Daphnia pulex: one gene and its partners. The protein of the gene in region 1 binds, or shares a complex with, the protein of each later gene. Links are inferred from orthologs where the notes say so. Each region holds a gene or a part of one and is shown in the gene's direction. Other genes may lie near its edges.

What was found. The genes of interacting proteins can lie anywhere in the genome.
Region 2: nuclear pore complex protein Nup153-like (region 1) and nuclear pore complex protein Nup54-like share a complex: the UniProt entries of both Drosophila melanogaster proteins name them as parts of the nuclear pore complex. The link is inferred for Daphnia pulex from reciprocal best matches to the Drosophila melanogaster genes Nup153 and Nup54.
Region 3: nuclear pore complex protein Nup153-like (region 1) and nuclear pore complex protein Nup160-like share a complex: the UniProt entries of both Drosophila melanogaster proteins name them as parts of the nuclear pore complex. The link is inferred for Daphnia pulex from reciprocal best matches to the Drosophila melanogaster genes Nup153 and Nup160.

Annotation. Positions count from the first base shown.
Region 1 is NC_060021.1:253,106-256,857, reverse strand, and holds the start of nuclear pore complex protein Nup153-like, read left to right. Parts: upstream 1-1,616; 5' UTR 1,617-1,898; coding exon 1,899-1,970; intron 1,971-2,036; coding exon 2,037-2,280; intron 2,281-2,351; coding exon 2,352-2,447; intron 2,448-2,509; coding exon 2,510-2,797; intron 2,798-2,881; coding exon 2,882-3,027; intron 3,028-3,089; coding exon 3,090-3,441; intron 3,442-3,501; coding exon 3,502-3,752. Other genes in the region: double-stranded RNA-binding protein Staufen homolog, read left to right, coding at 38-511, 576-662, 723-821, 904-1,005. UniProt on the Drosophila melanogaster protein: Component of the nuclear pore complex (NPC), a complex required for the trafficking across the nuclear envelope. Functions as a scaffolding element in the nuclear phase of the NPC.
Region 2 is NC_060022.1:6,652,882-6,656,633, reverse strand, and holds the start of nuclear pore complex protein Nup54-like, read left to right. Parts: upstream 1-1,194; 5' UTR 1,195-1,365; coding exon 1,366-1,423; intron 1,424-1,731; coding exon 1,732-2,163; intron 2,164-2,221; coding exon 2,222-2,494; intron 2,495-2,572; coding exon 2,573-2,723; intron 2,724-2,783; coding exon 2,784-3,216; intron 3,217-3,286; coding exon 3,287-3,550; intron 3,551-3,617; coding exon 3,618-3,734; intron 3,735-3,752. UniProt on the Drosophila melanogaster protein: Component of the nuclear pore complex (NPC), a complex required for the trafficking across the nuclear envelope. Essential for the nuclear import of nuclear localization signal (NLS)-containing proteins in an importin alpha/importin beta-dependent manner.
Region 3 is NC_060017.1:6,360,028-6,363,779, reverse strand, and holds the start of nuclear pore complex protein Nup160-like, read left to right. Parts: upstream 1-947; 5' UTR 948-1,070; coding exon 1,071-1,182; intron 1,183-1,287; coding exon 1,288-1,399; intron 1,400-1,471; coding exon 1,472-2,981; intron 2,982-3,039; coding exon 3,040-3,386; intron 3,387-3,445; coding exon 3,446-3,699; intron 3,700-3,752. Other genes in the region: glycogen debranching enzyme-like, read left to right, coding at 1-420, 493-552. UniProt on the Drosophila melanogaster protein: Functions as a component of the nuclear pore complex (NPC). Involved in poly(A)+ RNA transport. Required for nuclear import of Mad. May play a role in double strand break DNA repair. Essential for nephrocyte development.

The DNA of each region.
Region 1 (3,752 bases):
ATTTCATTCTTGCTTATTTATACCGTGTGTTTAATAGGATGTTACATCTGCATCTAACGGTTGCCTTGGCACAAAACCTCAAGATCCAATATCTCAACTAGTTCAACTGCAGCAGGCGAGGAAAGAAAAGGAACCAGTATTTACTGTTTTGTCAGAAAGGGGAATCCCCCGTCAGTCCCCCGAATTTGTTGTAGAAGTTGCTGTTGGCTCGGTAACGGCAACAGGTGTTGGAACTAAAAAAAAAGACGCCAAACGCGCTGCTGCTCTCAAGGCGCTGGATGCTCTTGGTGATTCCAGCAAGTCATCTGCTTCTAGCGATACATCAGTTGCTGTTGAGACACTCTTACAGGATGCGCCACTCTCCAACAGCAATTGCACAGGTCGTCAAATGGTTCCGGGTCTTCTTTTATTAGGAGGCGGACAGAGTAGGAAAATTGACTCTCCATTCATAACCGATTCATCGAATGCCACTGGAATTAAAGAAACTACTCAATCGTCTCGTCCGCCCAAGGCATGTTTTTCTTATGCCTCTGCCAACACTTCTTAAAATCATATATTTATTACTTAATCTTTAGACTTCTGGAGGGTTGCGCCCGGAAATACGTCTAAGGTACTTGGCCCAAGTACTGGAATACGAGGTCGAGTTTTCCGATTTTCCAAAGGTAATAAACATTTTAAAAACTAATTTTAATTTACTGTTGGAATTAATGTAATATTATTAGGGCAAGAAAGGAGATTTCGTTAGCCTTGTGACCTTGAATACAAATCCTCCGCAAGTGTCGCACGGACTTGGTGCCACTTTGGAAGAAGCCCATGATAACGTAATCATAACTTGACTATATTTTGGCAATCAGCTTAAGTTAATTATTTAATTGATGTTCTTTTTGTTAATTCTTTGCACAGGCTGCTTCCAATATGATGAAATTGCTTTCTGAAGGGTCTCAAGATGACACCGTTGGTCCCAACAAAGAAAACGCAGATCAACGAAGCACAGGACCCCAATAATTTTGTTTTTCCTATAATGCCCTGTTTGATATGTTGAGATTTGAAATGAGATTGTCTCATATCTATTTAATTTAGTTTTTGTGTCATTTAACTTAATATTCAAGCACGCTATCACGATTTTTCTTTTGTTATTCATTTGTGGGTTTGCAGTCAAAACTATTTTTCTTTGTCTTTCACTCTTTTTTTCCCCCTTCTACATTGTACACGGTTCAGCTTTTTATTTCATTATTTTTCATTTAACGGTTATTTGTATTTATTTTCAAATAAAATCAGGAGCTTATCTCTTGCTGACTCTTTATCATGTGTGGAAGAAAAAAAAAGAATTTTGAAAATGAATAATCTGTACCGTTGACTAAAAGAACGAAAATCAGAAAAAAATGGGTGCAAGTTCTAAGATTATGCAATCATACTGATCATACTTTTACGTAATACTGCACTACTGCATTAAAGAACTTGCGTTTTTTTTTACATGGCGCAGCGTGATACCTATATTTGCAGCACACATTACTAGTGGCTGTTTTATGTAACAGCGCTAGCCAAAATGAAAATTAATTTCATGCATGGGGGGAGGGGGTTACCGCATGCGAATTAGGCAATTTCTTTTAGTTCGATCGGTTGATTCATCGAGAATGGTCGAGAAGGGTTCCGCTGGAGCCAAACTATAGCCCGTCACAAACGCCCTCTACTGATAAATTTATAAGTTCTTTGAGCAACATCGTTCTTCATTTGTTTCTCGTAACCGCCAATCAGATCTTTCTAAACTTAAAAAAAATCCGCCATCTTTTCTCGGCACTTTTTTCCTCGCCGCGTGTGGGTCGTGGTGCGACGGGTTAAAGCTGTTTTCTTGCAACAGTATCTGATTTCCGTATTGATTGATAATTTCTAAAACAGTCATGTGGGAAGATAATTTAGGTAAAGTCAAGGCAAGGCGGAGCAAAAATTCAAAACCATACGAAAGGCCCAAGGTAAGACTAAAATACGTTTGTGTGAGTTTGTGAAACCCCAACTATATCCGGCTTTTTGTCTATCAGTCGATTTTGAGGCGAGTAACAGATTCAGTTACTGGATTGTTACCACAACCTTCTTGGCTGGTGAATTGGTTACAATCTACATCAGCTAAAAAAGAAGATAGTGAAAATGATGAAGTTGAGGAAGAACAACCTGTGCCGTCAACCAGTTCATCCAGCAATGGTAACAGCTCCCACCGAGAAGGTGTTGAAAGAGAGTCCTTCATATTTCGCAGACCACCTGGGACATCCAAAGAACAAAGCAACAGTAAGTTTTTTTCATCAATGTTCTGCTCCCTTCAAACTGTGTAACACATGCTTCTTTTTTTGTTTGACTTGCAGTAAGAGCTCGTCCAAATGTCCCTTCTTTGGACTTACTTCCAGAGCCAGTAGTGGTTGAATCAAGTTCAAGAGAACAAATCGTTCAAACAAATGGTTTGTATTAAACACTGATTTTCAAACTTTTATGACATCTCACATCTCATTTCCTCTGACAGGTGATGATGACTCCAACTCAGAGTCAACTAGCGGATGTTCCTCATTGTTACCACATCTCGAGCATAAGAGGGAGAGCAGAAATATAGAACTATCAAGTTTGGGAGTTGCTGAACCTCTCTCTATTAATCAATCTTCACTGCAAATCATTGGAAGCTCTTTGAGCAAGTCCCTAGCAGTTGACCTAAAAAATAGCCGTGGACGCAAAACTCTCAGCCTTCATACTTTTGGTCATGATACAAGTTCAGGTATAACTCCCACAGAAGAATCAAGGTTCCACAAGGATACAGGTAGATTTCTAATGACATTTTCATCATTTTGTAGTCAAGAATTTTGCTTACAAATGAGTCTAATGTATTGTTTTTGATTTGTAGAAGAGGCTAGTGGCTCATTTTTCGACAAAGACGACACTTCACTCAATCGTTCAGCTGCCAAGCGAGACCTTTCCCAACCTCAACTTTCATCGTATGGAAGCAAGAGACCACGCTTCAATATAACTTCATTTGGACCTACGGCTGCTGTAAGTCTTGAATTTAATTTACTAACAAAGTCTGGACTCTATTCTTTTATTACTTCCAACAGGAGGCTAGGCGGTCTTTAATGAACGAGAGTGTTGTAGACTCACCATTTTATGCTGGTAAGACGACTTACGGTGGTGCTTCAGCTTATCGCCGTGCCACTTTACAACCTTCAGCTGCACTATTCCCATACGTGCGAAGTCGAATTCAGGCTAGGCCTGCGTCTTCAGCTCCATCCACTTCGAGTTCTGTTGCTTCTACCAGTTCGTCAAATGTTGTACTTAGTAGTTCAGCGCAACGAATCCTTCAAGCACTCGAAGCCATGTCAACACCAGTGAGAGATGCAAAAAGGATTCCTGCTGCATCCAACAGTAAACGATCCACTTCTTTACAAGGCGAAGAACTTTCGTTCACTGGTAAATTGATAAAAGTTATGAATTGCTTAACGTTATAATAATTTCGCTTTGTGTTTAAAGGGTTTGGTTTGAGTCGCCGACGTCCAAATTTGGGACCTCCAACTTCCAAATTATCTGTCGGTACTCCGGCACAGATTGTCACCCGACCAGCTCCAGCAAACTTGTCTCAAATAGAACCAGCACTAGTATCGAGCACCCCCATCAGTGCCCAGGTTGGTGGCAAGATGCGAATGAGGATGTCAGCACCACTTCGCAAATCGGCTCCTCGTATTCGAGAGGATGAAGATGTAGAGTCGGAGGAGCTCACTGCT
Region 2 (3,752 bases), on another chromosome or scaffold:
CGATTCAAGCGGACTCTCTACAATTTCATTGGAGACGACTACAGATTTAAAATAGTCGAAAAGGGCAATCTCCTCCATCTTGCCTGCTGCTCCTACACAATTATAACGAAACTCTTTCCCCTAAACGTCATGAAATTGTTACTGGAACTCGGAGTCGACCCAAGTGCCACCTCGTCCAACGGAATGACGGCCCTTCACGTGCTGGCCAGTATTGAATGGGAGCGCTGGTCGATCAACACCATAGACGCCATCCAGTTACAGTTGTTGGACTCGGATGCTCATATCGACCAGCCCGATGATGTGGGCATAACACCTTTGGACCTCTTTAAACTAAAGGAAAAAGAACTGGCTGAAAACGGGATCTCAAATGTTTACCTTGGGGCCGTTCACATATGACGTCACGGACTTTTTGACGATTTTACACCCCCCCCCCTCCCCCCTTTGTCACAATTCATCACAGTAGGTATACCCCCCCTCTAATATGACGTCACAAAGTCAGATACCCCCCTCCCTTTTTAAAAATTGTTTGAGCCCCTAAAAATTCTTTATTTTCTGTATTTTCTGTAGTTTTTAATACAGAACACAATGTTGTTCATTATTTTCTTAATTGGTCAAGCAAACGAGGTGCTTTGCTCTAACGATCCAAAAAACTAAAAGAAATTTAGGAAGTTGCCAACATATCCCACTTGGTGGCGCTTGTGTAGTGCCTTGTGACGTCCCACTGTGAATACCCCCCCTACCCCCCCTCGTCACAATTCGTCATACAAGGTGCACCCCCCTCCCCCCCCTCGGCCCGTGACGTCATATGTGAACGGCCCCCTTCAAAGACTGATTCATAAAGTGCGGCCCCTCACATGTTTAGCTGCCCAAGTCGTGAGCCGTCATGGAATCCCATTCGACGACCTGCCGTCCAGTTTAATTTCGTTTGTCAACCGTCACTCATTCTTAAATTGGAATAATTGATTGGAATGTAATGCAAATTGTCTTGGTTAAATCATCATTAATAAACTTGTTTTCTGATCAATTTCTTGTGTTAATTTTTTGCGTGTAAAAGGGGAGAGAATGGACGACCTTCGGGAATGACGAGGTTGATTTAAATTTCTTCGGTTGAACGGAATAGAAATATTTGCGGTGGACTTTCGCTTTTCTGTCTTCCGCCAAAGTTAAAGGATTGGTTCTTCATCGTTAACCGCTAGATGGCATATACCTCCTTTCTTCTCGCTACTTCCACAGAAAAAATGTAGTTTCAAGTTTTGAACGTGAACGCTAACGATATCATTGAAAATCGGCTTGTCGACTTTTTTACCAATTAGACAGATACCAAATAAGATTTATACAAGAAAGTAAGGATAACTTATTCTTGAAATGGCATTTTCTAGTGGAAGTCTTTTCCAACCAGCCCAGTCTACTACATCCAACACAGGTAATACACACAAACTAGTGTCAACTCCAGCATTACTATATATTTGAATGATAATTATCTAAGTGAAATCATTTTGCCTTCGTTGTTGAACATGCTACAATGCATGGCTTTTTCATTTATTTTCTGTTTATTAGTTTTTCTTGAGATTACATTTTCTAGTCCAACCAAATGCTGCAATCATTTTTGTTCAAGCACAACACTGATTGAGAATTGTTCATTATTTTATCATAGAAATAGGAGATAACAAATAAAATTTTATAGAATTAAACTTATGTGTTGCAATGCATTTGACTCATTTTCACTTCTAGGAGGGCTGTTTGGAGGTACTGGTCAGACTGGTACTACTCCATTTGGAGGCTTTGGTGTGCAGCAAGTTAGCACAGCAAATCAGTCCTTTTCATTTGGAACTCCTCAAAATTCTGCTTCAACATCAGGATTTGGCTCTCAACAAACTAACACCACTGCAACAGTACCTTCTTTTGGTTTTGGCAGTACCCAACCTACTTCAGGTGCTCCAGCGTTTGGATTTGGTACCACCCAAACTAGCACAGCTGCTCCATCGTTTGGATTTGGTGCAACACAAACAAATACCACTACACCTGCTTTCGGATTCGGTGGAACTAATACTGGTGGAGCTCCATCATTCAGCTTTGGGCAGCCACAGACAAGCAACGCTGGATTCGGTTTTGGCACTGGAGCCCCTGCTGTCTCATCGTCGTCCGGACTTTTTTCTGGAACAGGTAATATTTTTTTATGGAATGACTTGGAACGAATTATTTGACTACTTTTCTGTATTAGGATTTGGATCTTTTGGAACATCTCTGGGAGGAACCGGGATAACAACACCAGCTTCTAGTAGCTTTTCTTTGGGAACTACATTTGGAAGTACAGCCCCAACAACAGGCCTGTTTGGTCAACAACAACAACAAACGTTTGCTCCTGCTCAGCAAGCCGGTACTGTTGTCGAATCTGTTCTCTCATCCGTACTTTACTGTAACATTTACGGTGATGAGCGCGATGCAATCTTGGCTCGTTGGAATCTCCTTCAAGCAGCTTGGGGAACCGGAAAAGGTTTGACTCCACCTTAATTGCGGTTCAATTTAAATATTAGAATGTCTTCATTTTACTCACATTGTTATTGGTGTCTAGGATTTTACTCTGGCACGGCTAGTGCTATCCAATATACTGCAGAGAATTCATTGTGTCGCTTTAAAGCCATTGGCTACAGCAAACTACCACAAGGAAAGAATGAAGATGGAATAATTGTTTTGCTGTTTAACAAACCCGAAACAGATATTCGGTAGATAAAATTATAAAAACCGTAATTGCATATAGATTTATTTATGGATTCAATTTGCAGGCGAGACCAAGCTCAGTTAGTCAGTGTGATAACTACGGCGCTGGGCAATAAACCCAATCTGAATGTGTCCGTCGAGGGCGTGTCTGGCCTAGACACAAATAAGACAGAGGTTTTGATTTGTGTTCAAGAACGCTCAGCAACTGGCGCAATTCATAAAGTGCCTGCCATTGAATTGTCTAACTTCCTTTGGAATCAACAACCATCTGGGATGATGCAGTCGGCTCGTGGTCAGCTCAGCGCACTTGGAGTCGTTTCGTGTGTTCCTAGAGTCCGACCATCACCCGAACAATTGCGCGAATATCTAGCATCGCCTCCAGCTGGGATTGACGCTCGCATTTGGAAACAAGCTCAATCAGAAAATCCTGATCACGATAACTTCATACCCATACCACTGATCGGATTTGGTGACCTTGTTCGTCATTTACACCTACAGGTTCGCATTTCTATATTTAACTTATTCACACTACGCAAATAGTTGAGTTGAAAAAAATAAATCATTGCAGGAGAAAGAGACTCGACGACACCAAGGAACCCTGGACAAGTTAGCTGAGGAATTAGCAAGCCTGCAATCTCGTGCATCAGAAACATCGGTTGCGCTAAGTGAACAGCGACGACGATACATCGACTTGCAACATCGAATCCTCAAAGTTCTTATAAAGCAAGAATGTTCTCGGAAAGAAGGTTTTGCTCTACAGCCAGAAGAGGAACGTTTGCGGGTGCAGCTAGAGTCTGTGCACAATGAACTAAGCATCCCTACGCAATTTCGAGTAACATATATATTTTTCTAATTAAATGTTAAGTTTATAGAATAATGTTTTACACTGTCAACATCAGGGTCGCTTAAACGAATTGCTTTCGCAAATAAGAATGCGCCAATCTGCCTTTACGCCAGCGGAACGAATGACTGAGAGGTACAACATTGAACCAAATGTTTTGGATGATCTGAAACAAGTAAGGAAGTTGTCACAA
Region 3 (3,752 bases), on another chromosome or scaffold:
CCGACCATGTTTACACCATCGAGAGCATGGCAAGCATTACAAATGGCTCTTCAGCACTTGTTAGGACCATTGGGCATGGCAACTTTGGACAATTCTGATTGGTCCTACCGACCAGATTATTGCAATTCGGACGAAGGAGATGATCCCAGCACGGCTCACGGTTTCAACTACCACCAAGGACCCGAGTGGCTCTGGCCAGTTGGTTTCCTACTCCAAGCCATGCTTTATTTCGCTCCATTGGTCGGCGGAGTCTCCGAACTCAGAAAAACCATCCGCAAAGTCAAGTCTATTTTATCGCGCCACTTTGTCGAAATTCAACAATCGCCCTGGCGCTCACTTCCCGAGCTTACCAATAAAAATGGCAAAGTCTGTAATGATTCGAGTCCAGCTCAAGCCTGGTCTATGGCCACCATTCTCGAGGTGATGAAAAAAAAATAAATATTACAATTTTTGAATTTAATGTACTAACTTGGTCATTTTGTCACTTTTCAGGTTTTGCATGAACTGGACAATATCGAACATAAACAGAAACTAAGCATCACCGCATTGTGAACTTAGAATTGTGATTGAATTCTTTTGTTGCCCCGGGGTCCTTAGTTGCTTTTCAGAATTCGAAATATACGCAGTTCTATTACTAGGGAAAAAGAAGAAGAGAGTAGTTTAAACTTATGTTTCCCACCTTCAGCCGCACCCGTACATTATATTATTAGCGTTTTCCCACTTCAGCGCATGTGTTGTTCTTCCACAATTTTAAAAACATTTTTTGTCGATTTAATTATGTTTGTTATTCACTTGGTGGAGAATTCTATTATGCCGCTTTCCAAAAGCAGTGTTGTAATTTGTAGCAATACACGGCGTCATGCCTGCTAGTGAATATACTCGTTCTTTTTGCCTCAACTCAAATTTTGTCATAAAATTAGTGTACCAACGAGTTTGGTTTTCAATCGCTAGGTGGCGCTGAACGGTAAATGTAGTTCTGCCGTTTGCCGGTTTGGAAATTTAGATTCGTCTGAAACGAATTTGTTTCTCAGCTGCCCGCGCGATTGCAACTGTAGAAACGAGTTAAAAACATGTCTAGTTGTCTTAAAGGAAATCTTTCTGGCTTTTCTCTTCTCGGATTGCGTGAAGTAATTCCAGATCAGACAGGCATAGAACAATGGAAGGAACTATTACTGAATACGGGTAATTCAAGTGAACTTGTTGAGCTACACCGGCTACAGTTCTTTCTTTTTCAACCGAAACGGTGTCGCTTTTCTTAAACACTGACCTGTATTCTGTTTTAACCAGGTGGAACTCATTTGACACTCCAAGATATTAAACTACCTGAAGGTTGCACAGCAGGAGGATACTGTTTCACTGATTCCAATTCAACTGTCACTCGGAACCGTTTCATATGCTGGTACAGCTATCATTTACATAATTTAAATGCTGCTGTAAGTAAGACTCATTCTGTATTATTTGTTTTGAACAGGCAAATTTCCAATGATGTCCTGGAGCTAGTAGAACACAGTTTAGACTTGAACTTACACGGCAACTGTCTTCGAATCAGATTTCAAGGCCTTCCATTATTAGAGGGGACATCCATTCATGAAACAAAAAATAATGTAGTTATTCTCGTCTCCACCATATCTTCAGTTCATCGTTTGGTTCTACCACATCCAAAAAAACACAATGATCCTACAGCATTCAACTCAATGGGGACCAACATTTCTGTACCATCCATCTTTACTGAAGCATCCCTTCCCTGGTTGAGGGAATCATTGAGCCACCAGGTCATCAACAGCACCGCCACCAATTTTTCACTCCCCAGCACTGCTGCATCTTACTTTTCTGGAAAAAGTAAAGAAGCATTGTTTGCTTTGGCAAACACTTCGTCGATTTCTCTCATTCGTATGGGTCAATCTCCTTCGGCAGTTACCACATATAATTTGCAGCCTTCCTCAAATTTATCACGTTTACTTTCTGGTTACCTGCCTACTGTGTTAAGAGGAAGCTCATCACAGGAAAACGAAGATACTACGGCAAGCATTTGTTTATTGCCGACAAATGACGACGTTCTTGTGCTGGCCGTCAGCAAAGGCTTGAAATTGCGAATTTGGTCAGCAGCAACCCAGGAGTGTCGTTTGGAGTTCGATTTGGTTGAATTCTTCGGAGACAAATCAGTCAAGCAGCTTGGCTCTCTTCACAGAATCCGGTGGTGTCCTGACGGCGTCGACTTCAAACTGGTCGTCTTCTCGTCCTTTGGCAAGAATAGATCTTTTCTTCTCATTGATCTACAGACGGGCCCTACACTCAAGCTCAATTTCCAGTCATCCGTTACTGCACAACATAGTCGTTTAATCGACTTCAGCCTGACTTCAAATCACCTTTATGCACTATGGAGCACTTCGCGGGGTGAATATCTGTTGGAATTCGCCGAAACGACCCTGCTAGAGTGGCAACAGGTTGCGTTGGAACCTGGCGTCGATTCGGAAATTGAATACGACGATACCGTCGTTGACCCTAAACAAGCGTACATGCAGGCACTTTTCAAACCGGGCGTATTCTCGATTTCAACCTTGAGTAAGGCTCTGCAAGCTTTTGATCGTTCGGCATCGACAAGTAGGAGGAGACCTGGAGATATAAAAGAAGACATCATTATGGCTATCGAGGTTGAACTGAAAGAGCAGATTTCCGATGCAGATGATGTGACAGAAGAACTTTATCTGCAACTTTCGGCCAAATACTGGGCCCAATTCTACGCCTATGCTGTTCAGTATCATTTGAAGCGGCCAATTCCTGTTGGTTTACTCATTGATGACGAAACTGGCTTCCATGCTCTACTTAAACGAGGAATGGTTTCATTTTTGCGTCCGTTGGATCTGGTTGAGAGTTTGGTTTTGCAACGAGGCCGTCGCTGGGATATGCAGCCATTTTCGAGTGGAATTGCTTCGCTTTTCGGGGGTCAGCAATCAACTTCTGGCCTTACTGCTCTGCTCGAGGTAACATTTCTTTTATTTGTTGTGTACATAGATTTTGACGAATTTTGTTCTTTTACAGATTCTGTTTGTGGTCAGCGATAGTTTGTCAACGGAGCAAATAAAGCGCTTTGATCAATCAATGTTTCAGTTGGAAAGTGCAGATCAAATTGCCAGGGATATTGCTGATGAACTGCTGGAGAACGAATCAATTAATTTGCTCAACGCTGTCCAAATGGCTTTGTCTTCTGTTGACATTTGCCTGGCCTTGTCTGTTCTTCTCCAACAGCTCAGCGTCGGCATGAATGGAGGCGATCCCAAATTTGGCGAAGTTTCCTTCAATAATAAAAGTTCCTTTCGTTTGCTTTTCAATGGAAGTCTTGGATTGGGAGCATTAGCCGAATCATCCCGACAGATGGCTGATTTAAGGTAGTAATTCAGAAAATGTTTCATTACCTTTTTAAATTAAAATGATGTTACTTTCGCAGGTTGGAATTGTGTCGAGATGTACTGATTGTACAGCAGTTGCTTATATTAACACAGAAGAAGCTTCAGCTGCGTCCCGAAGATGCCGAAACCATTCGCTCAGAGTTCCTCCCTCGTAGCGTCCCCCTGGCTCACGCCTACTATGCTTTATCTTGGTTATGCCACTTCCCGGCCCAAACGGTTTCCAATTCCCTCACCGAACAAAATATTCGCACAATGGCTTTGTTGGGATTCAAAAAATCTCAAGAGTCTTACGGTAAGTTTGAAAACATCTAAATTTCCCATTTTTCCAAATTGAAATAATACTGA